3 linked regions of the Solanum lycopersicum genome follow. The main gene of each other region encodes a partner of the protein of the gene in region 2 in a complex. Links are inferred from orthologs where the notes say so. Each region holds a gene or a part of one and is shown on either strand. Other genes may lie near its edges.

What was found.
Region 1: SNF1-related protein kinase regulatory subunit gamma-1-like (region 2) and SNF1-related protein kinase regulatory subunit beta-3 share a complex: the UniProt entries of both Arabidopsis thaliana proteins name them as parts of the probable heterotrimeric complex. The link is inferred for Solanum lycopersicum from reciprocal best matches to the Arabidopsis thaliana genes AT1G69800 and AT2G28060.
Region 3: SNF1-related protein kinase regulatory subunit gamma-1-like (region 2) and GAL83 share a complex: the UniProt entries of both Arabidopsis thaliana proteins name them as parts of the probable heterotrimeric complex. The link is inferred for Solanum lycopersicum from reciprocal best matches to the Arabidopsis thaliana genes AT1G69800 and AKINBETA1.

What each region holds. Positions count from the first base shown.
Region 1 is NC_090810.1:59,796,557-59,804,737, forward strand, and holds the start of SNF1-related protein kinase regulatory subunit beta-3, read right to left. Parts: upstream 4,612-8,181; 5' UTR 4,472-4,611; exon of another isoform or gene 4,379-4,471; intron 4,146-4,378; exon of another isoform or gene 4,130-4,145; intron 3,870-4,129; exon of another isoform or gene 3,867-3,869; 5' UTR 3,803-3,866; intron 1,978-3,802; 5' UTR 1,965-1,977; coding exon 1,911-1,964; intron 1-1,910. UniProt on the Arabidopsis thaliana protein: Regulatory subunit of the probable trimeric SNF1-related protein kinase (SnRK) complex, which may play a role in a signal transduction cascade regulating gene expression and carbohydrate metabolism in higher plants.
Region 2 is NC_090800.1:6,170,873-6,179,337, reverse strand, and holds SNF1-related protein kinase regulatory subunit gamma-1-like, read left to right. Parts: upstream 1-2,799; 5' UTR 2,800-2,933; intron 2,934-4,954; 5' UTR 4,955-5,002; coding exon 5,003-5,171; intron 5,172-5,256; coding exon 5,257-5,699; intron 5,700-5,911; coding exon 5,912-6,178; intron 6,179-6,274; coding exon 6,275-6,447; intron 6,448-6,877; coding exon 6,878-7,160; 3' UTR 7,161-7,513; downstream 7,514-8,465. UniProt on the Arabidopsis thaliana protein: Regulatory subunit of the probable trimeric SNF1-related protein kinase (SnRK) complex, which may play a role in a signal transduction cascade regulating gene expression and carbohydrate metabolism in higher plants.
Region 3 is NC_090811.1:69,117,764-69,126,263, forward strand, and holds GAL83 (SNF1 kinase complex anchoring protein), read left to right. Parts: upstream 1-3,720; 5' UTR 3,721-3,740; coding exon 3,741-3,947; intron 3,948-5,966; coding exon 5,967-6,145; intron 6,146-6,233; coding exon 6,234-6,396; intron 6,397-6,554; coding exon 6,555-6,875; 3' UTR 6,876-7,095; downstream 7,096-8,500. Other genes in the region: uncharacterized protein, read left to right, coding at 2,222-2,692; receptor-like protein Cf-9, read right to left, coding at 7,525-8,500. UniProt on the Arabidopsis thaliana protein: Regulatory subunit of the probable trimeric SNF1-related protein kinase (SnRK) complex, which may play a role in a signal transduction cascade regulating gene expression and carbohydrate metabolism in higher plants.

The sequences.
Region 1 (8,181 bases), on a different chromosome or scaffold from region 2:
ACAATTCTGAGTCTCGCCTTCAATGCATAAGCGCGCCTTTGACAATTTCAAGCATTTCTTTTCTACTGTAGAAGTTTGTCATAAATATCTACAACAAGATCCTAATCCTCAGTGTTATCCAAGGCACGCTTAAACCCTGAAATGAGGCACAAATCATGTCGAGCACTTCGCGTCGCTTAATGTGCACTACAGTGTTGTCATCAAGGTTCTATGGCATAATTTTCCTCGCTAATGAACCTCTTCTGAAGAGACGACATAAACAGTTGATATTGTAATTATTTTTCAATTTCTTTGTATATATATTTGTCATTCATGCTTATAAATTATTAGTCTTGGACTAAACATATAATATTTGTTTGTTTTTTCTCCTTTGGCACCTTTTTGCATTAAAGCTCACGTTTTATTTGCGTTTTTTGCTTTTGATAGCACTGCTATCCTATACGTAGAATCTGAAGAAGACATTTACCTAGGGTGAAACATTCATGCAAGATCTACAGAGCTATTCTCCGGAACATGTCAAACCGAAATGAGCAACAAATTGTTGCAGCTAGGAACTTGTACAGAAGCTTCTTCAATGTATATTCAAGAGAGAGATAAAAAAGAGTTTCACAGGACACCATACAAGATCAACACTTGTTACTAAAATAAGAATAACGGTGCACACTATACCCTTTGTCCTTAAAATACTAGAACAAGTTCCTTCAAGCTAACACGCACTTATCCACCAACTATGCTGCACCGGACTCGCACTCTCCTCCCTTAAAATTCAATGTAGGAAATTCCCCTCAAACATAATCAAACTCATTCTTCCCAACTAGATACCTCAACCTATCCAAAATCAAAGTATCATCGATCGAAGAACTTCCAACTCTGCCTTCAAAAAGAAGGCTTTCAAACATGGTCAACAAACTTAACACGTCCCCCCACATTCTAAACTTAGATATTGTAACTTTAACTTTATTCTGAAGATGGAAACACATGAGCTTTAATAGCACTCTCAATTCTAGAAGTAGAAAAAGGAAGAGAAATCCTTGTGTAAAAGGTAAGCCCCGCTTTCAAGCTATAATTCACATAAGAAATCCTCCTCCAGCTCCAAAAATACTAGCAGTAACAGTTCTCCAAGGGGTGAAAAAGAAGAAAATTTTTGGATGTTGTTACAGACGGGAGGCCGCACAGCCAGACAGTTTTTCAGGAAAATATAGAGAGAAAAGAAGATTGAACTCGAGATTTTTCAAGGAGGATTCAAAAGATTGAGTTTCTTCTAAACCTTCTTCCCTTAATCTTGTGCTACGAACATGATGACTCTTAACTTTTCTATGATAGTTTTTACACCATAGATTTCTCATAGTTGAGTTCTGATGAAACCTATGATTTGATTAGCGATTAATCCATGTGTGGTTATAAAACCACAAAGGGCCTCAATTCCATGTACTAAGAATAGCTGTCTGCTTTTACTTGTCCAGTTCAGAAAACCAAGATATAATTTATCACTTAGTTCCTAATTTACGCTTATTACTAACTAGTCATTTTCCAAAATATAAATTTATTATATTCAAAAGGTGATATAGTAAATTGTCATTCTATGTATTGCACCTTATAGGGTGTGTCAAGTCAATACTGAACAAGTAAAAACGGATGGAGGGTGTAAACTGTCTACCAAAAGTTTCAATTACGAAATGACCACAAGTACCTAACTTATTTGACTCTATCTGGCCTCTAATATTCTCAAATATAGAAGAATGACTCTATACTAGTAATGTATGAAAACAAAGTTGAAAACATTAACTGATCCATCTTGACTTAATGATCAGCCGATGACCCCATTATGGCATATACCATACACAAAAAATGAGACGCTAAAAAGGGTAAATTTAAAAATAACAAGGCCTATATATAGATGGAACACGTACACAATTCCATACTCTTACCCCTACTTCCATAAATGCTTGCACTCCACACCACATTCCAACTGGTTACCTTAATAAAAAAATCCAAAACATGCAGCAATTCAAACTTCGTCAATATCGCATATATTCTCAGATTATTAAAATACAAGTGAAAGAATCTAGCTTGGGATTGAGTAGTAGTTGTTATATTGTTTAAACTGCCCCAAGAATACAGCCAAAGATAAGAGCAGGTCTTCGAATGTGACAACTCAACTAACAGTTTTTAATAACTGATGTCAAATAGTTAGAATTATCCATCCGCGAGTTTGTCCTAGCAAATTCAAAAGCCTTAGCTATTGGTTTAGCCTTTCCACTCCACCAATCCTCTCTTCTAACTCATTTCCATCAGCCAAAAGCAATTACAACTACGCTTCAATCCCAAACAAATTATGTCAGCTTACTCAAATTGCTAGTCACAAATCCAGATAAAGGAGGAGTTTGTGGTAGGTAGACCACCGTTTCAAAACTAGTTAATTTACAATGAAACAAAACACTGAACTATTCCACAAATTCTTCGTTTTGTTAATGTCGTTCCAAGAGCAAGGTTGCACAGAAGTCTAACTGAAAGTTGATAGATAATAGTTCTCATCAGTAGGAGGTTGTATGCATCGGCACCAACACACACATATATAATTAAATTTAACTAAAATGATTAATCTAACTTCAAAAGCTTCCTCGAGGACCAACTATGTTTATCTTAAATTCTTTTAAACATTGATGACAGCGGTGCTTATGATAATCACCACCAAATCCCTCTCTTAACTAATATTTGTAATCTACTATGCAAATTTTTAACTCCTTTCAACCTATTTCTATTGGGCTTCATCTTTAAGTATCCACACTTTTAAGCAAACATCCAGTATTGCACTCTTGTAAATACTCTTTTTATCTTTCCTGATAAGTAGTGCATTTTTCACTATCATACAAAGCAAGTGTACACTGTACACTCACAGCTCATTAGACGTGTATAGCTAATTTTACATGTAATTTAAGGGGAGAGCACAAACATGGAAACGCTGCTCAAATGCAGATGCTACGTAAACTGTTTCCTTCTCCATTAAGTGCTAATAATAACTTATCTACCATCCTAAACACCATGTGCTTTCCATGCTCAAGTGCAGATGCTACGTGAACTCTTTCCTTCCCTGTGATTAAGTGCAAAAAACTTATCTACCATGTAAATCACCAGGAGTTTTCCATGCTCAAGGGCAGATGATACGTAACTCTTTCCTTCTCCATGATTAAGTGCTAATAATTAATCTACGATGCAAAACACCACGTGGCTGCATGATTCAATTACATTTCTGTTTATCCCACTAGCTAATTGAGACACATTTATCGCTCCTAAAAGTTCTTCAAACAGGTGATTGACGAAGAACCAATAATTCCTACTTCTTCCAAGTGCAGGATAACTCCAGTAACACAAAACCCACCAAAAGTGGATAAAAGCTGCTTATCGGATACTACAGATTGTCAATTTGAAATTACAGATCTTTCTTGACCGAGGATTTTCTTTCTAAAATAAGAATCAACTACTTTGCCAACCTCTAAAAAATTTATTTAACATGTATCAATAATCTATCCAGAAGCAGCACCAACAACAACATACCCAGCATAATCCCACAAGTGGGGTTTAGGGAGGGTAGTGTGTATCCTAGTACCACGATCTACCTCCCCTCACCCAAAAAAGGAAACCCTAAATTGATCCAAAATCATTCACATGGGGAATCTACACAATCTGTACACATTGATCGCATGTGTGATTTTGATTCTACAATCATAAATTCGCAAACACAACAAGTAACTACAAAGACAAACATTCATAAACTAATCTAACGTCCACAAGCTACACTAACCTGATTCAACTTTTCTTTGGTTCTTCAATCACACACAAAGAATTCACCAGAATCAACAACCCATCTGCACAAAAAACAATGGAAACACAAGAAGTATCAAAACTTTAATCCATCAAACAAAAAAATCCAACCAGAACCACTAAACCTAAATCCCCAAATTGATCCACAAGACACAAAGCAGAAAAAAGATCAAGAATTCAGTAAAGATGATTTCTTTCAACACAAACTCTACAGAAACGGCAAAGCAGCACATAAAAATCAAAACTTTAACTCTACATAGACCAAAAAAAAATAACCCCAACAGCAAAAACAAAGAATTTCACCTGAAAAATGCCAGAAAAATCAAAACTTTATAAACAAAAATCAGATAAACCCAACAAGAACTACTAAACAAAAACACCCAAATTGATCCACAAGACACAGAGCAGAAAAAAAAAGATAAAGAATTTAGTAAAAATGATCTTTTTTATACACAAACTCTACAGAAACAGGCAAAGAAGCACATAAAAATCAAAACTTTAAGTTTACACAAAGCAAAAAAAAGTAATCCCAAGAACTAAAACCAATGAATTTCACCTGAAAATGCCAGAAAAACAAAAGGGGTTCTGAAACTCAAAAGCTAAAAAAAAAAAAAACCACACTCTTTACAGGTTATATAGAGTATCTCACCTAGAAGATTCCGCCTTGGAATCAAAAGAATCAAAATTACAAAATCACAAAAATTGTATTTTAGGAAAAAACATAATTCTCTAAAGAAATAAAACTTTTGCCAAAAAAAGAAAAATAGGAACATAAAGATTAAACAATTGGGCTTAAGCAAAAAGAGCAAATGGGCCAAGTTATAAAATATCCTAATTAAGAGCATGACAAATTAAGTAAATAAAGGAAATGAGAAAATTACGCGGATAAATATATATATATATATACTAGTTAATTAGCTATTATAGTTATAATTTAAATTAATTATAACTCGCAGACTCTGTTTTAGCTATAATTATGTGTGCCTCTCTCCTATCTTCCTCCCTCTTCTCTCTTCTCTCTTATATATATACAAATTATACATATACATATACAATAATATGATAGATATACAAATACAATTTGTTTTCTTTCATTCTTTGTCCTCTGTTTCTAGTCTCTCCTCTCTCTTCCAGTCTAACTTGTAAAGATATACAAATACATATGTATATCAGTTACATATATAATTATATAATCAATATACATGTATAAGTCAGCAAATATATAATTATAATCCACCTCTCTCTAATCTCTGCCCTCTTCGGCTCACCTCTCTCATCCCTCTCTTCGCTCGTTTCTCCGCCTCTAACATGTAGCTAAGAATCGTAATTAGCAAACGATAGCTATAAAGCCTAATGAAGTTGTTTTTACTGCTATTTGCAAAACTTTTCCTAAATGAAATGCTACAAAAGTTATGTACAATAGGATTAGTGTTGGAAAAGTGTGTATATATGGGGGTTGAAAATTCAATTCGTTTTTGTTCAAATTATTTTAACTCGTCCATACTCAACTCAAGCTATTCATTTACCGCCACAAAATATAATATTGAATTATGAAATAGCTTTGGACCATATATACTTATAAATCAAAACAAAAAGAAAGAATCATTTGAATATTGAACTTGAACTTTAAATTAACAAAGAAGAAAACTCACATTTACTTACTTTGTAATGACTTTAGAGGTGTCACTTTCAAAGTTAATTTTAATAAAGTCTAATTTTAGATAAACATATTTGAACGTTTTAAGAAAATATAATTTCAAATATAGTGTTTGAAATTCATCTTAACTTCAAATATCATTTGGCTTAAAGTTTTTCGAATTGAGTAGACTTGACAACTTTTACTCGTTCCTAATATGATTCAAATAGTGATTTCGAAATCAAGTATATGTGATTGCATAATATTACTTTTTTTCTTATTTATATCAAAGTTTTGACACAATTTTATATCAAAGATACAATTTAGACTGTTACTATTAAATACACATGGCCTTAATTAATACAAGCAATCAATGCAATAATGTGATTAATTAGTGAAATTTACACTATTGATTAATTTTTGATACGACATTACAGGATTTAGAACGCAAATAACAATTACATAGATAACTGATAGTACTATGATAACTTTTGGATACATTACATCATGATACATTTTCGATACATGATGCATCATGCATGAAATCATTTTGGGATTCGAGGGATTTGTACGTGAAATCTTACCATTTTTGCATTTATATGGGCATTTAAGATTCATTTTATAGGAATTATGCGATTTTCTCAGTTTTCATGTGTTTTAGGTCATAAATATTTTGATGATATGGCTTAAGACAATTTTTTACAAATTTTTACGGAGACCTTCATAGGGAGTTGGGAAAGAAGTTCGTAAAGTCTCACTATTTTTTACACATACTTTGGGTATTTAGGGATCATTTACAAAAAAATAGGCAATTTTCTAGAATTTGCATGCATGTTATTTATTATTTTGCAAAACCTTTACAGAAATCTCTGTAGGGAGTTGAGAAAACAATATATGAAGTCTCACCATTTTTTGCACATATTTTAGGCATTCAGGATCCGTTGTACAAGAATTAGGTGATTTTCTCAGTTTTTCGTATGTGTAGCCCATGAAATTTTTGATGAAATAGCTTCCGAACGATTTTCTTGCAAAGTCTTTATGAAATCCTTCATATGGAGTTTGGAGAGCAGTACTTGAAGTCTCGCCATTTTTTCATATTCGAACATTTATGAGTCATTTTAAAGGAATTAAGCGATTTTTTCAATTTGTGTGTGCGTTTTAATCAATATATATTTTGGTGATACGACTTTTATATGACTTTTTTTTTTTTGCAAAAGCTTTATGGAACCTCCGTAGGGAGTCGAAGGACCCGTACGAGAAGTCTCACCGTTGTTGCACATATTTTGGGCATTTAGGATCCATTTTACATGAATTAGACAATTTACTTAGTTTTTCCTAAATGTTAGTCCATAAATTTTGGTGATATGATTTTTTAACAATTTTTTTGTAAAACCTTTACAAAACTCTCAATAGGGAGTACGAGGAGCAAACATGAAGCTTCGCCATTTTTTCACATATTTTAGATATTTAAGATTCATTTTTACAAAATAACATAATTTCTTAGTCTTAAAGTGTTATAGCCCATAAATATTCTGGTGATATTATTTTCAGACGATTTTTTAATGCAAAACTTTTACAAAACTCTCATACGGGTTCAACGAGCAATACGTGAAATATTGTGCAAAATGGCTCTTAAATGTCCAAAATATATCATAAAAGGTTAGGCTTCATATATTGCTCCCCTAACACCATACAAACGTTTTGAAAAATGTTATGCAAAAAAATTATTTGAAAGTCATATCACAAAAATATTCATGGGCTAACACACAAAAACTAAAAAAAGAATTTCCTAATTCTCATAAAATGGAACCCAAGTGTCCAAAATCTGTGCAAAGGTTTGTGAGACTTCATGTATTTCTCCTTCTAGTCCCTATTAAAGAGTTTCATAAAGGTTCCGTAAAAATTGTCTGAAAGTCATATAATTAAAATATTTATAGACTAACACGCATAATAAATAAAAAAAGTACCTAATTTTCGTAAAATGGCTCGTAAATGCCCAAAATATGTAAAAAAAATGGTGAGGCTTCACAAATTGCTCCCCCCAATTCCCTACGTGGAGATTCAATAAAGGTTTTCAAAATATTGTGTGAAATTCATATCACCACACACATGAAAATCGGAGAAAATTGTCTAAATCCTGTAAAATGATCCTAAATAACTAAAATATGTGCCAAAAATGGTTACGTTAAATAATTCACATACCTCTTTTATATTTTATGGACGACTTTCATCCAACAATAGTTATGATACACTTACCGTTAATTAAAATTTTTACTTGATATAGATAACCACAAAAGTGTGAATTTAGGAAAATCTTTTATTTGAACTTGAAAAAAAAATTAAAAGTAAATCGTTTTAAATTTGTGGAATCACAGTGTGGGATAGAACTATGGATAAATAGGGTATTGGGTATGAAAAATTGCTATTAAAACAATACTCCACCTTTCTTAGATAATTATTAGATAATTTCAAATATATACAATAAAATAATTAGTGTACAACAAATATAGCTATATTTTACTTGCATAAAAGAAATAGATAAAAGTTATAGAATATAGATTAATTATATTATACAACATAGTTAACTAAAATCCATAAAAAAAATGTACATTGATTATACATTATGATATACTCATATTATTGAATATAGCTTAATTATATATAAAGTATATATCGAGTATACATAAAATATACACTGACTATTTAATCTTGATCAATCCATT
Region 2 (8,465 bases):
TGAACTTATTTTATTAATAATTTTCTACCCCTTTTCGACCTACGAGACACTATCTTGTGGGCCCAACAACGGTTGACATTTTTTCAAGTTAGTGCCACGCAGGCCGAAAAAGGATAGAAAATTACTTATAAAAAAAGTTCAGGAGGGTAATAGGACCTTAGTATAGTATAAGTGTGTCTCTAAGATCTCGAACATAGATTGAGAGGGTACTTGTGCATTATCCCTTTTCTTTATTCTATTTTCCTTTTATATTTTTTTCTTCTCTTTCCGGTCCCTTTCTTCTTCTTTTTTTTTCATGACATTTGTTTGATGAAACTTTTTTGCCATTGAAGAAAAGAATTACAAGTTTTATTTGTGACGACTTTAAACTTATTGTAATGAAATGTGTAGTTAAGAAATTTCAAGTTTTAATATTGAAAGGTAAAGTTACAAATCTATAATATACTTTAATTTTCTGCCATTGATCAATCTTTTTTGCACCATTTTCATCTTCCTTTCAAACATCAAAAGTCCATCAATCAACCCAACTCACTCCGTCCTTCTTACCATCAATATTATTAAGTCCTAAACCTTTGACATATCAAAGAACTCAAGTTTAGGAGGAGTTGGTGCCGTGTTTCATGTTTTCATTATCGATGACCGCAACGATAATTTTCAAGAGTAAAAATCTGGCCAATTTTTTGAATCCTAACCGTTTCATCCATCATTTGATTGGGCAGTGAATACAAATAATAGATCTTTTAATTTCTATTTTCGAAATAACATATGAATTTTGTTGACCACCCAAAATTCACAAAATTCTTTCTGAACTTGAATTTAAATTATTAAATTAGGACATAACAAATTTTGTTATGAATATAAGTTATGCTAGGATTAGTTATGTTGAGATACGTTATACTGGATAAGTTATGTTGAAATTAGATTTTATTGCTTGTTTGATTTGTCATATTCAAACTAATATTCATTGTATAATTGTAAGAATAAGTCGTATACACTCACCTTATTTAATTTTTATTTATTTATTACATTTTCTTTAAGCCTTTGTTATTCATTCTTAAAAATAAAATTACCATCTTAACTAGCTTAAATATTTTTGTGTGTGCATTTTCATGATTATGCAGTGTATATTTTTAAAAATTAAACTTTCATCTTATTTAACTTAAAAATAAAACGTTTATTTTATTTAGCTTAAAAATAAAATGTTCATCTTATTTAGCTTAAAAATAAATTTTTTATCTTATTTAGCTTAAAAATAAAACTGTCATCTTATTTAGTTAAAAATTAGAGTTATCTACATTATCTAGATTTTAATTATTGATAAAATATAATTTTGATATTTATAAAAAATAGAGAAAATGTACAAGTACCCCCTCAACCTATGCCCGAAATCCCAGAAACACACTTATACTATACTAAGGTTCTATTACCCGTGAACATATTTTATAAGTAATTTTCTACCCCTTTTCAGCCTACATGCCACTATCTTTTAAAAAAAGTCAACCAACAATAGGCTCACAAAATAGTGTCACGTAGAACGAAAAGGATAGTAAATTATTAATAAAATAAGTTCAGGAGGAGTAATAGGACCTTAATATAGTATAAATGTGTCTCTTAGATTTCGGGTATAGGTTGAAGGGGTACTTGTACATTATCCCTAAAAGATACGTAATTTAGTAGTAGAGTAAACATTTTAAGAATAATCAAAATATAAATAAACATAAAAATTAGGCAAATGAATTCAACTTATAATGCATTCATAAATAAAATTTGTATTTGTAAAATGTAAATTTTTAATAGAAAAATATATTTATCATAAAAACAACAAATAATTGAAGTTGTCAATCTTATTATAAATATTGTTGAAAATTATATTAATATGTATGAATGTAAAAGTGATGTTCAAAAGAGAGTTTAAGAGAGAGTATTCTTGTTGATTTACACGCCTTATCCAGGGAATCACTGTACCACCATAACTTATCCTAAAACTAATTGTTAATCTTAGGATAAGATATTCCTACCTTTGCAACCAAACAATGAAAAATGTCGCTCAAAAGTTATCCAAGAATTAATTCATTTTATTTGTCACATCAAATGATTCCTTATTATTTAATAGGAAGGGTAAACTAGACACAAAAGGTAAATCGTTTCTTAATTTTTAAGATTAGATAAATATTATCGAATAACTATTTTTTATATAGCAAATAACTATTTTTGAACGGATCAGAGGGACTAAATCGTGAAAAAATAAAAACAAGGTTCTATTACCATTTACATTATTATTATTTATACTTTAAAAATATTACATATCTTATCAATAATTAAAAAATTTCTATCATACATTAAGGAAAATACACATAAATATGTGTTTTTGCTATTAGGTACACCAAAATATTAAGAGAGACAAGTAAGATTTGTTATATAATCCGTGAATAATGTAAATCGCACAAGATACAAACTAAATACATGTATTTTTATATATTGAAGATTTGTTACGTATCTCAGATATATACATGCGAATCTACTTGGATATATAGTATGTCTGCACACATTACACCCAATTTCGATTCATATATTTTGAGATATATTTATATGATCATACCTAAAATTCATAATATTACAAATTACAATATATCATTTTATTATTTAATAATTAAATCAAAATATTTTGTTATCTAAAAATTAATATTCAAATATATATTCAGATCGAAAAACTCTCGAAAACGAAAATTTGTTATGAGATGGTTGGTGGTGTGGTGGTGGGTTATAATACATGGATGAAGTAACACGTGGCGGGTAAGCATAACAGATGGCAAAAACAAGAGTAGTAACTAACTTGTCATCTCATCATCACTAACAAAAGATTTACACCCAAATTACACATCTCACTCTCTATCAAGCACAAAAATTAAAACCTCTGCACAGCAGCCTCACAGGTACCTATATATATACATATATTTTTTTTCTTCAATTTTACACTATCTATTATCATTATTATTATTACTATATCTTATTAGTGTGTGGGTTTAGCAATTGATTAGAATGTTCATAATTAGGTAATTGAATGTGAAAAGAGATCTTTTTTAAAAAAAATTTGATTAGGTTTGGTTTTGGTCCAATATTTTGAGAAATTGATATACGGAATTGAATACTCTTGATTGGGAAGTAGAAAAGGTGATAAATACTCTTAAATGTTTTGAGCTGTTTTGGGGAAAACTAATATCACACTGAGGGAGGAGTTTACAGGCTAAAAAGGGGCACGTAAAATTAGATATTTTATGTAAATATTTTTTGTATTGACACCTATCCGAAGGCTAAATAGTGCAATTGGTTGGATTGTTTAGTTATTTACTTGTGTTTAGTTCTCACTTAATACATGTTTTTTTTTTTAAGTGTATCCATGTTGTACAAATTCTAGCTTCGCCTATGATTACATTATGTTTGGACAGCATCACACCATCTTTTTGGACTGTTTTAGCCCAATATTATACTACCTGGTTATAATTATTTTTCATGAAAGCATGTATATTAGATGTCGAATTCTTTGTGCTAGTTCGTGTGTTCAAGTTTTCAAATTTTGAACCTCTTCGACATATGTTCTTCCCCTATGGCTTTTTGCAAGGACAGTCCAATAAAATTCTTCTCTAGTGTAACTCTCACTTACTCATTGTGGTTGCGTTTAGCGCGGCTTTCAAATCTATACATAGCTAATTAAGCAAGTAATGTGTTGATCAACGTACTCTGATTAAACTCTGCATAAATTGTTGCAACTGTCCTATTTATGATTTTGTTCCGACTTTTGCTGGGGGGAGGAGCTTCTCAGGAACAGAGTTTCTGATACCCTATTCACAATATAAACATAATTACAGAGTTATTATGATGCTTATTTTTGAGATGGTACTGAGCAGAAAGAGATTTTATTGTTACCATTAGTTTCAATCTTTCATTATTATTCTTAAGTGGAAATACAAAGTTACAGACATTTGTAATAAGAACTAATGAGTCACTGAATCCTTCAATCGAGTGTAGGCATAAGTTTGTAGCAATGATGTTTTCCTATCAATTCTTGTCATAGAAAGTTACTCGACTTTCATTTTCAATTCAAAAAGTCACTTAACTATGACTTCTTTGCACAGAAAGTCACTCAAATTATTTATTGTTTAAAATTTGCTGACATGAAATTTTAATTATTAACTAAAAATTTAAGAACCAAATATATATCCATTTAAACCATTTAATGACCCACCCGATTTACCCGGAGCCACTGAAATATAATACTGAACTTTTTATTTTGCCATTAATTCCCTGATGATTCTCCCTTTGTCTCCCCATCCTTTCCCTTTACGTTCTTCTCTTGTTTTTTTTTTCTTTCTAAATTTGTCAATTTAGTGGTTATTGAATACATGCACATTATCACAAATTTTGCATTGGGGCACATTTAATAGTCGAGGTTTGCTAGTGACACACCAACTGGATATAGAAATGTTTTATTCAAACTCCGTTCTCGCAAGTCCCACCATATCCCATTCGCTTTCAAATTTCTTAGATTTTTTTTCAAATCCCCTATTTTTCTCATACTCAATTTACTACTACAACTGCTACTGCGAATTTTTCATAGAACAGAAAAGCACAAAATGAAAGGTTAAATGAGGCAAGTAATTAAATGGTTTAAATGGATATATATTTAGTTCTTAAATTTTTGGTTAATAATTAAAATTCTATGTCAGCAAATTTAAAGAAAAAAATAATAAAATAGCTTGAGTGATTTTTTGTGCAAAGAAGTCATAGTTAAGTGACTTTTGAGTTTAAAATGAAAGTTGAGTGACTTTCTATGAAAAGAATTGATAGTTGAGTGACCATCAAAGTTATTAACTCAATTTGATGGTCAGAGATTCTACCGACTATCACTATCTTCTTTAAAGTTTATGGATCTGATTGTTGTCATGGTGCTTCTCAGGAATATATTCTTAGAGCCAGGTCCCCTTCTCTGTGTATATTGAAGTAAATGGCACAAGCAAAAATTACGGAAAATACGTCGAAACTTGCAAGTTATGATGCTTATTTTGAAAAGGCCCAGAAAAGAAAGAAATTGCCCCGTAATTTGCAGGAAACTTTGACTGATGCATTTGCAAATATTCCAGTTTCATCCTTCCCTCAAGTCCCTGGAGGAAAAGGTATATAAAATATACAAGTTTTCTCGTGATTATGTTTTTGATATCCAATGTTGTATCCTAAACGGCTACGTATACCTCATTCCAGTAATTGAAATAGACGCCGAGACTTCTATAGGCGATGCTGTCAAAATTCTTTCAGAATCGAACATCCTCTCAGTTCCTGTGAAGAATCCAGTGGCTAAGAATAGTTTGGATTGGAGAGAAAGGTACTTAGGTGTCCTTGATTACTCCGCTATTGTTCTTTGGGTGCTGGAGGGTGCGGAAACAGCAGCAGCTGCCATATCAGCAAGTTCGGCAGCAGCAGCCGGAGTTGGAGCAGGTACCGCTGGTGCTCTTGGAGCACTGGCATTAGGTGCAACAGGTCCTGCTGCAGTTGCTGGTCTAACGGTTGCTGCAGTCGGTGCAGCTGTGGCAGGTGGAGTGGCTGCAGATCGAGGAGCGGGAAAGGATGCTCCAACTGCGGCCAATAACTTGGGTGAGGATTTCTACAAGGTTATCCTTCAAGAAGAACCCTTTAAGTCAACAAAGGTGGGCATGCCTTCTAAAGGATTGAATTGATTGATTAAGAGAGACTTTACCCTTCTTATTTAGGGTGCTTATGTCTAAATTATTTGCAGCTGCTTCGCGTCTTTAGTACTCTTTAACATGAAAAATAATGATCATATCAAAGCGCTATTACAGATATATTCAGAGAATTTGACATGAATACACATGACAAGGTCAAGTAATTACATTCGCAGGTGAGCTCCATCATAAAATCCTATCGATGGGCACCATTTGTTCCAGTAGCAATGGACAGTTCTATGTTGAGTGTGTTGCTGCTGTTATCAAAATATAGGCTGCGGAATGTACCTGTGATAGAAAGAGGAAGTCCATACCTTAAGAACTTTATAACTCAATCAGCCGTGGTACGGGGTCTTGTAGGATGCAAAGGGAGGGATTGGTTTGACTGCATCTCCGCTCACCCTATATCAGAACTTGGCCTCCCATACATGTCCGCTGACGAGGTCTGTCATTTGTTACATCTGAATACTATGTATTTTTTAATTTTAATAATACAAAAGTTGGTGACTGGAAGTCTTGTCTTTCAATGTGTATGCCAGGTTATTAGTGTCCGAGACGATGAACTGATTCTGGAAGCATTCAAGAAAATGAGAGATAATAATATCGGAGGTCTGCCGGTTGTTGAAGGATCAAAGAAGAAGATAGTTGGCAATGTAAGCATAAGAGACATCAGATTCTTGTTACTCAAACCTGAACTATTCTCCAATTTCAGGTATGTGTTCATATAAATTGTTAGTTCTTTGCTGATAATGAGCTGCCGTATTAATTTTTTTAGTCGAATACCTTCCTCTATAATCTTTGGTCTCTCTCTCTTTTCGAGAGAAGATCTTCTATCCACTTGTCTATGAAGAACCTCAAGTCTATCGGGAAAGGATGTTGTGATAACCCCCTTTGTCTAGAACCACAGACGTCCAGCCGTGTCGGAAGACTCACCCTCGACCCCACCATTACTATTTGATTACTTCTACGATAAATAATAAGAGTTTCAATTCTTGGGAAACTTTCTTATGGTTGAAGTTGTGCAAGAAAATCGAACAATGATTAAATGGAAAAGCGATTCTGACTTTTATCATTAGGCTCAGAGATGTTCACCTCTTTTTTTTTTGTGTGTATGTACTAAATTTTGCTCGTTCGAATAACAGGCAGCTGACAGTTGCGGGTTTCATGAACACAGTTGCTTCGGCAACCCATGATGCCACAAAGGCAGCTACGCCAATAACATGCAAGCTCGGTTCAACTCTTTGTACTGTGATAGACACTCTCGCGTCCAAGTTAGTTCACAGGATCTATGTGACAGCTGAGGATGGCGATGAAGTTGTTGGTGTGATCACACTCAGAGATGTCATTTCCTGCTTCATCTATGAACCATCGAACTTCTTCGATAACTATTTTGGATTTTCTGCACAAGAAATGCTCAGGAACTGATATGTTACTGTTGGTCAATAAGCTGGTTACGGGCGACTAGAAGATGCAGTAAAAAGAATCCGCACCAGGTTTTACCATAATATTTATGAAATAGTCTCTTTTTACCAGTTCAACATCTGCATAATCATCCTTTTATGTCAATCTATGTAGCTCTATCGCTTGCTAGTTTCTTGAGTTCCCTTTTTTCTGTTTCCCCGGCTTGTTCGAGGTTGTTGTAAAGAGGATTTAGGATTTACCATTTCATACCTAGTTTGATCTACAAGGGTACGAGCATAGCTCGCCCTCAGAGGTTGTACTTTGCTCGCTCTTTAATAAATTTTGACCACCTCTAAGTCCCGTATTTTGTTACAAAAGATGTTGCCTCTTCTTTTCTTCTTCTTAAATTTAAGGTATAATACTTGAATATATCTTTTAAGTTAATCTCATTTTATATATATATGTATGCCCTCCAATTTTGACTGAGCGCAAATAGGTACTTAAACTTATATAAAGTTGAACAAATAGACATACGAGTCCTACGTGTAACAATATACGTAGGAAATTACATAGGATACAAATTTTTATATAGGATGTCATGTAGGGCGTTTGTGTCTGTTTGTTTAATTTTATTCAAGTTTAAGTGTCAACTTGTGTATACCTAAAGTTGAAGGGTATAAATGTGAAATGAGATTAAGTTAAAGAGCATATCTATATATCTATGTATTATGCTTAAATTTAAGCATCACCATCACAACTTAAAGCTATTAGGTGTGGGAGTTTCGTTTGACCCCTACCATGTTTAAGTTTTCAACATAAGTTGCACAAAAATAGGAGGGGGGGGGGGGGGGGATAGCGGAATTAAGACATCATAAAGGAAAGGCAACAAACCTATCACCTACTACTCGATAAGCAAAATACAAGATCTAACTAACAAAAGAACTATGTTTGTCATATTATCTTCTTATGAAAGGTAGTTGTCGTATATCTAGTTGAACGAGCCCCTTTGCTTTTGTTGTGTTTAATGTTTAAGTATCAAAGTGGTTCTTTTTAAAGTCGGGTATCGTACCCACTGGGACCTACACTTAGAATCACTCAGTTTCTCTAACTTTCAACAAAACACAAGTGTATTCAAGATTTCAAAGTGATTTATTTCCTAATATTAAGATTGTAACAAACACTGTAACGAATGCGATTCAATTTGGAGGGTTTAAAAACAGTGATTGGGTTAAGTCCAGGACTACAACTTCATCGGGATTTATGCAATTACTATCATTTAAATGGGCTTATATAAAAAATATCAAATCAATGAATCACAAGGTAAAATAT
Region 3 (8,500 bases), on a different chromosome or scaffold from region 2:
TGTATGTTTCAAACTTACATAAGAAGGATGCAAAGTGCAATTTTCCCCAAATATTTCTTATTTCCCTCTCATATAAATAAAACTCCATTCCTTATCCCCTAGCTGCCGGCTTCAGTCACAAAATCTCCGGCCAACTTTCCGGCAAGCGTCTTGGCAGGTATGGAATTCGATATTAAAGCTCTAAAGCAAAAAGGGTTTTGATTCTTTTGACTCCTCGGAGTCAAAATTTGAAGTTTATGGGTTCGGAATTTAGTAGTTTTGAGTTTTGAATTAATAATTTGTATGTACCTGCTTTGTACACTCTAGCTTCGCCCCTTGTACAGATTGAGCTTATATGTGCATAGTGTTCTCTTTATATTTCTAAAAAGATGGGATTTTTACTTCTTGAACATGGGATTTTTAGGTCGATAATGTAGCAACTTTGTGGTTGTGGCAAGAATTGTCATCACTTACATTGTATTTGAAGTTGGAGATGATGAGTGAGGCATAATCATACAATGCTCGAGTAAAAGCAGCAAAATTAGTGTTGTAAACTTAGGTAGGCACTACATTGAGAGTGAAATGGACCTGATAGAGCAAAATGTAATAGAGGATTTTTATAGTTGACTTCAACTAGGTTGGGATTGAGACATAGTTGGTTGATTGACTGATACGTCTTTGTGTATTTTCTTGTTTTCTCGTTTGCATTCCTTTTAATACGTAATGAGTAGATATGCAATTCAATGTCTTTCACTTGTTGCAAGCTCATGTCTTTTGAGGTTTATCTATACTAGTTTCAATTCTAGCAATGAAATCTTATCTTTATGTGACCTTTTCAGTTGTGGCGCAGATAATATATGCCAGTCCTACATTAATGTTTTGTGTTGGTTCCTTGTGAGTCGAAACAAATTAACTTCCGTCTCATATTGTGATTTGATGCAGATTAACTTTCTTCAATTACCTGTCCAATAAGCATAAGTTTGCTCACCTCTTTAGTGGCTCAAATTTCATGGATTCAACCTTAATTTGCTACTATACGAGCAAAGGAAGCTTTTTTTTCCTATAGTTTTGATACAACATAGGCTTGTTTTGTTTCAGGGAAACCGCTCTGGTAGTTCTATGTTCCTATTGGAGGAAAATGGTCTAGAGGGAGTATTGAGTAGAATAGTAATATTATCAATGCAGTATGAAAATGCTTATTATCTTCAATATGGTGTTCTCTGTAGCTATTTTGAAAATTAAGATCAAAACATTAATTTTGAATATTTCATGTTGCACCTGCAAGATGACCACACTTAGATGAATTTCTTTCAGCGTTTGTAAATGATCAAATTCAATTTCAGCACTGTTCCCACTCCATATGTGCCTTCCTTTTTCATTTGTTAAGTGTGTGGCTTCATTTTCAATTAGTTAAGTGGAAAATAGCTTTGAGATGTTGCGCCTTATGATCAGTGACATCTTATGATCTCATGACTTTATTGACTGGTTTACTGGAAATAACACTTGCAGGTGGTTTATTTAAGTATTTCTGAACAATTTATTCATGCATGTACATTAGAGGGTGAAATAAAGAGGGTCATTCTCTTGAAGTATGAGTTGTTTGAGGGGGATAGAGTTTGCTCTGATTCAAAACTGTATAGTAGCTACTGGTGAAAATGGCTTATTTGAATTCACTTTATCAATTACCTGTCTCAGACGAGCTGGTGGTGTTATCTCTTATCTGTCATGCATTATCTTTTCACTTGAAGGATCTTCTCGCGATTCAATATACGAAATTTGCTTTTGATTTCTTCTTGTATTTTGAGAAAGAAAAAAGGGGTCTCTTTCCTTTGTTCACTTGGCTTATGCTCTTACTTTGTGAATGTTTTTTACATTTTCTCATGCTCTGTCCTGCTATATTAATCCATGACATTACTGATATCTGCAATTTGTTCTCTGTTTGCCGTTGCGAATTTCTGAACAATATATTCATGTATTCACTTGATTACTGGTTAATTTTAGTATAAATATTAAAAATATGCTAGACTTTACGCTCTTATATATGATTCATTCTTATCTTGCATTGCTTCCTACAGAGTTGTTGTCAAATATTTGTTTTGGCTGATTCATTAAGTTCAATGCATGCTTCAATTAGCTAATTTGATTGTGCCACTTTCTATTTAATTTTCTTTCTTCCTGTTGCTCAGGCTTAATCTGAAACAGTGGAAATCAGAGAGAAACCGAGGGAAAAAGCAAAAAGGTAATGGCAAAACCATCACAACCAATTCGAAATGAGAAGGAGGAGATAAAAGAGACTGATACTACGGCATCCACCAACAATAATGAGAGCAGCAAAAAGAAGGTGACAAGAAAGTTGCCAAGCGCGAGAGAGCTTGTATCACACTATGAATCACAAGGCGTTGACTCTCAAGAAGCTTCCTATAAGGTCATTGAGGATCTCCAGGGTGCTCTTTTCAGGGTGATCAGCACCTCTCGAAATGACAAGAATCGCAATAATAATAGGAATGTGTCATCTGAAACCTCTAGAAAACTCGATGTTATCAATGCTCGACTGCTCAGCCTTGACATGAAAGTTGATTCCAAGCCAGGCTACCCTCAAACCCTCGCCATCGGGATGGCCTCTGGTGGCCTTCTTCAAGTGCTCCCTCGTGTTGCAGAATCGGTTGTCCAAATTTGGAACTCTGTTAGAAATGCTACCAACTCAAAACAGTAATAGACCATAAATCTTGTTGGTTAGCAATGCTTTCTTGTAGTCATGGTTTTTTCTACTTCTGAAGTAGAGTTTTGTTGAACTTATGATATGCCAAAAAAATAGAAAATTGTTCTCTTAAGGCCCCATTGTTCAACCTGGTGTCATGTATCTTTAGCATGTATATCACAAATTTTGGCTGATATACAGTTGTTGTCACCCAAGATCTATGGTCTTTATTTCTACTAGATGAGCGTAACGTTTGCATACAGTCTATATTCTTTTTACTCAACTCATGAAATCACATTGAATAAATTATTAATATATAGTCAAATCGGAATTTCATATTTTATTCTCCACATTAACTTTTCTTTTTCATTTGATGATATTAAAAGTTCAAAAAAATAATTTTGTCCTATTTTCTTTATTATTAATTGTTGATAATAATAATACTTGGAGGCTATCACTATCATTGTGCTCCCAAAGCAACGTGGGCACACACCTAAAGAAGATAATATATGCACATTTATAAAATTTAGTAAATCTACACCTTCCATTTTGTACTTATCCTTTATCAACCATTTTGATCTCTCCATGTCATCAATATTTATCCTCTAAGTTTTCCTTTTATATTTTTTCACTTTCCATTTCTACCCTTTTCCACTCGCTCTTCGATCAAGAGTATTTAAAATATTTTTTTTATTTCGTAATAAGTAAAAATAAGATTTACGTATATTTCAATATATTTGTTGCATTATTTTGTAAATTATCTGCCCTCCAATGAAGAGTCTTTTTGAAACAATTCATTTTTATTTCTTAAGAAATAAGAATAAGATTGACATATATTTCATTGCATTTTTTGTATTATTTTATAGATTAGTCGAGGTGTTTTTAAGCGAAAGTAGAAGGAAGAAAAAAGTCAACTGAGGGCATTATTGTAAATAAGTTCAATAGTGTGCCTTATCTTTTACTGTATATATATAAACACGAGAACGTGACTCTTATTACTTTCTCTCTCTACATATACATACAAAATATACATATGTATATTCACTAGCATTATTGGGAAGACATGGGGAATGCGAACGCCAGAGAAGACGGCGCCGCCGGAGACGGCGACGGCGACGGTCAGGTATCGGGAAGAAGATCTAATGTTGAATCTGGAATAGTAGAAGATCACCACGCTCTGAACTCGCGAGTGCCTTCGGCTGACTTGATGGTCAATTCTCCTCCGCAGAGTCCACATCGTTCAGCTTCACCTCTCTTGTTCGGACCTCAGGTTTCCATTTTTATGCTCATTTTATCCTATTTATTATATATACATATGAAATAGTATATGTGTATGTGTTTGTTTGTGGTGTTGGTGATTCAAAGGGGATTTAGGATTTGGTGTGGAGTAGAGCTCAAATGAGGTCTAATTTGAGCTTTAGATATAGTTCATTTGTTCAATATGTAAACTTTTTTTACCTTTTTGGAGATTCAAACTAAGAATTTTGTCTTAAAAATGTATTTTTTAAAGGAAGGACAGGGTTTTGATCAATATTAGTGTACTGTTAGAGTCCTATGTTAGTTGGAGAGGGGAGGGACTGGCAATGCTTAATGAGCTAGCTTTTTGGGATGAATTAGGCATTAGTATCGTATATTTTACTTGGTATCCGAGCTGGGTATTGGCTTTGTTTATATGAATTTGAGCAATCCTCTCTTAGTGAGCTAGTTTTGGGGGTTGAGTTATACTCAAATGTCATAACTTTACATGGTATAGAGTTGGATCCATGCGCATTCAAGCTCCTTGCCCACACTACAGTTGGACCTGTTCGTGAAGGGGTGGTTAGAGTTCCACTTTGGTTGTATAATGAACGGATGGTCTGCTTATATGGACTTGGGTGAGCTAGGTTTTTTGGGTTGATTTAAACTAAGTATCATATCTTTACAAGTACCAGAAAACACAAAAGAATGGACTTGTCTCCATTTAAGTATTTAAGTAATCTAGCAAATGATGAGCGAATGCAGTGTAGGGTCTGTGCCATTTACAGTGTTCTGTCTTTTCCACATATAAAGTTTGCTCGCCATGGGGTATATACTTGAGAAAAGATGAATCATTTGCCCTTCAAAACATCTATGATTTCTTTTTATTTAAGTGCACTTCTTACCATATTGATATGATGAGAATCACAACTTATAGTACTTTCTGTTTTGTTTCCAAATGTCTAAATTTTAATTACAAAAAATGAGTTGATCTAGCCTGATTTACTGCAAAAGTTGGTCTCGTTGACTCTTCTTTAGAAAATGTGCCAAACATATTAGGATGGAAGAAGTAATCATTTTTAAATGGTTTAATCGTATGATGGTCAGCTAAGGTGGTGGATACACCCACACCCTATGCAATTACTCTGCATGTTATACTGCCTGTCTGTATGCCTTTGAGTTGCGGTGATGTGTCTGCATCTATAGGGGAGAGTTGCAAATTGATTGTAGTGCTGTTCATTATATGCTTAACTGTGATTTGTTGTGTTTTCCCAATGTAGTAGCGATGAAGTGTTCTGCTTGACACTAAATTGAAACACCTATAGGAACAACCATTACAACATCCTGATCCCAGATCGGTAATATGAATCCTCTATTTTCATTCCACTTCTATTAGGTTTTCATGCTATTCCTATGTGAATTTCCTTCAGGAAAATGCTGAATGAACTCTTCTTTCTGTTTAGTTGGAAGCTTGCATTATAGGGCTTGCCTGAGTGTTGGCCTAGCCCTCTGTTAAATGGGAAAAGGGAAAGCATCTCATGGCCTGTCTATTTGTTGGGTAAAACAGACAACTAATTTATATTAGCAAGGTACATGAAAAAACAAAAGGAACTTATGCCAGTCAAGCAAGCTATAATGTTTCTGTATAAGAACCTAGTGCATCCGGGAGCAGGTGGCGGGTGCAGAAATGTTATGCTGTAATCTTAGTAGGACTGGTGAAACCTTAGTCAATCTGTAGTCAAGTGACAGTTTTTCAGCTCTGAATAATTCACTCTTATTCACTTTGGCTGATTTTTTTTCCACCTTATATATGATGAATATTCTTCATGTTTTGTAGTCAGCACTATCACTCAAAATTTAGGCTTTTCAAAGTGGACAGAAGGGAATAATGTCCCTCTGAGGTTGGCAATTACCCAAGCAAGCACCTCTTATTTTTAGTTAACTTGGAGATAGACCAGAGCAGTTAATTGCTTCTTGGGCACCCCAATCGTACCTCATAAATACTTACGACTGACTAGTTTCGAGACTAAACTCCTCTTTATCATCCTTTCAGGTGCCAGTAGTTCCTTTACAAGGAGGGGATGGCAATCCTGTTAGCAATCAAATGTGGGGCAATGAATGCGAGGATGCCTCTGATCATTCACTAGAGGGCGGCATACCTACTTTGATAACATGGAGTTATGGTGGTAATAACGTTGCTATCCAAGGATCTTGGGACAACTGGACATCAAGGTATACTCTGATTCAACCAAGTACTAGCCTGTGATCATTCCTGTTAATGGAGTTTCTGAATGTATCCACTAATGATATTTGCTTGCAGGAAAATTCTCCAAAGATCAGGCAAGGACTATACCGTTCTTTTGGTCCTTCCATCGGGTATATATCATTACAAATTCATTGTGGATGGGGAAGTTAGATATATTCCAGAACTTCCATGTGTAGCAGATGAGACAGGCGTTGTCTTTAATCTTCTTGATGTTAATGTAAGTGAGAGTTCTGTTTCCTGATCATTTTGATACATTATCACAGCGGAGGCATCTTTGATAACTTCAGCACATTAATGCATAAACATGTGTTTTATAGTCTATATACTTGCTGTTCCCTGATAATGTGTTTGGCTCATAACACGTCCTTCATACAGGACAATGTTCCAGAGAACCTCGAAAGTGTTGCAGAGTTTGAGGCCCCACCATCACCTGACTCTAGCTATGCGCAAGCTTTGATGGGAGAGGAGGATTTTGAAAAGGAGCCAGTGGCAGTTCCACCGCAACTTCATCTAACTGTTCTTGGTTCTGAAAACTCAGAAGAAGCACCTTCTTCTCCAAAACCCCAGCACGTAGTACTTAATCACCTCTTTATAGAGAAAGGATGGGCTTCTCAATCCGTTGTTGCTCTTGGTTTAACGCATAGATTCCAGTCCAAATATGTCACAGTTGTTCTCTACAAGCCACTGAAGAGGTGACCACTCCGTGTTTACAATCAAATCTTTCTAGAGCTTTCTCAGTGTGGCTGCTTTAAGATTTCCACTGTTTATAGACCTGCTCAATGTTCAAACTTCCTTTAACCTCTCCTCTGTTGTACAATAGAGCAATGCATTTTCTCGTTTCTTCACCTCATCTTTTTGGTGATTTTATGTTCATAATGTTTTTTTAATCACAAAAGGATTAATGTGCAAACTGAAAGGCAATTCACCACCAATGCATCTTTTGGAAGACAGAGAACAAAATAACAAATATCTCTCGTCCCTTCCTCGATAGGTTCTTGTTTTTTGTGGTTTATTATTTTGGAATTCAGTGAACTAATTGTAGCTGGCATAAGATTTTCTATTGCATATAACTTGTCATTAAAGATCATCTCAACCTCAATTTTCATGGCCAAATATTGCTACACACTTTATGCAAACAGGATTAAAATAACGATAATACATCTAACTTAATCCATCTTTTCCCTGAAGAAACAACAGTAGTATCATTAGTGATTATTTCTTCTTCTGCAATTCCTTTGCCTTCGCTGCAACTTTTTGAAACACAACTTCTTCTTCCCTTTATCCACTTCCATAGACACTAGATCCTCGCTGTAATCAAAATATTTTAGTTACCTGAAATCAAAACTTAGAAATGATTGTTTCTTCTTCTGTAATTCCTTTGCCTTTGATGCTTCTTCTTCCTTCCTCTCATAATTTTGTGCTCCATCTCTAGAATGATTCTTGCAAGCCATATCGGTTTTCCAGTTGACAACATGAAATATATTATGGATAATCCGATACATAGTCCACTTCCATACCCCATAAGAGCACCTTTCCAGAAATCACTCTGAAATTCAGAATTGCTTCCAGATACGGTTTCATTTGTATCTAATACCCCAGCATCGCTGCAACTTTTTGAAACAGGGAATCCACGTAATCCATCATTTTCTTCATATGAGTTGCTCTCAAAAGTGTGAAATTGAGGTCCTTGAGGAATGCATCCTCGGAGATGATTATGGGAGAGGTTTAAGAATGAAAGAGACGTAAGAGAAGCCAGTTGTTGTGGTATCTCTCCCGAAAGCTGGTTTCCTGATAGGTCCAATGATTCAACTGAAGATAAATCTCCGAATGATGGTGGTATTTGACCTTGGAATCCATTATGTGATAAATTCAATGTATGAACTGCAATGAGATCCCCCATGATACTTGGAATTTGCCCTCCAAATTTATTACTTGAAAGGTCAATAACAGTGTACAAATACAAGATACTCACAATTTCACGCTCAAATCCCTTTGTTACGACAGCTACTGTGTCTTGGTAATATCCATCACTTGGTGCCTTCTTTGATGGATCAATTGTCTTCATGGCTTTCAAATGTTGAAACAAACCCGTAGGTATGTTTTCTGTGAAGTCATTGGAAGAGACATCCAATATTTGAAGCTCAAGAAACATGTTTTCACTTCCTAAAGTTCTAATGGGTCCATGCAACTTATTCGATCTCAAGCTTAAAACTCTCAACTTAGGAAGAGTTCCCAACCACATGGGGAAGATGTCATTGAGGTCGTTATCTCCTAAATCAAGAACTTGCAACTCTTTGCAATTGGCCAAAGATTGAGGAATT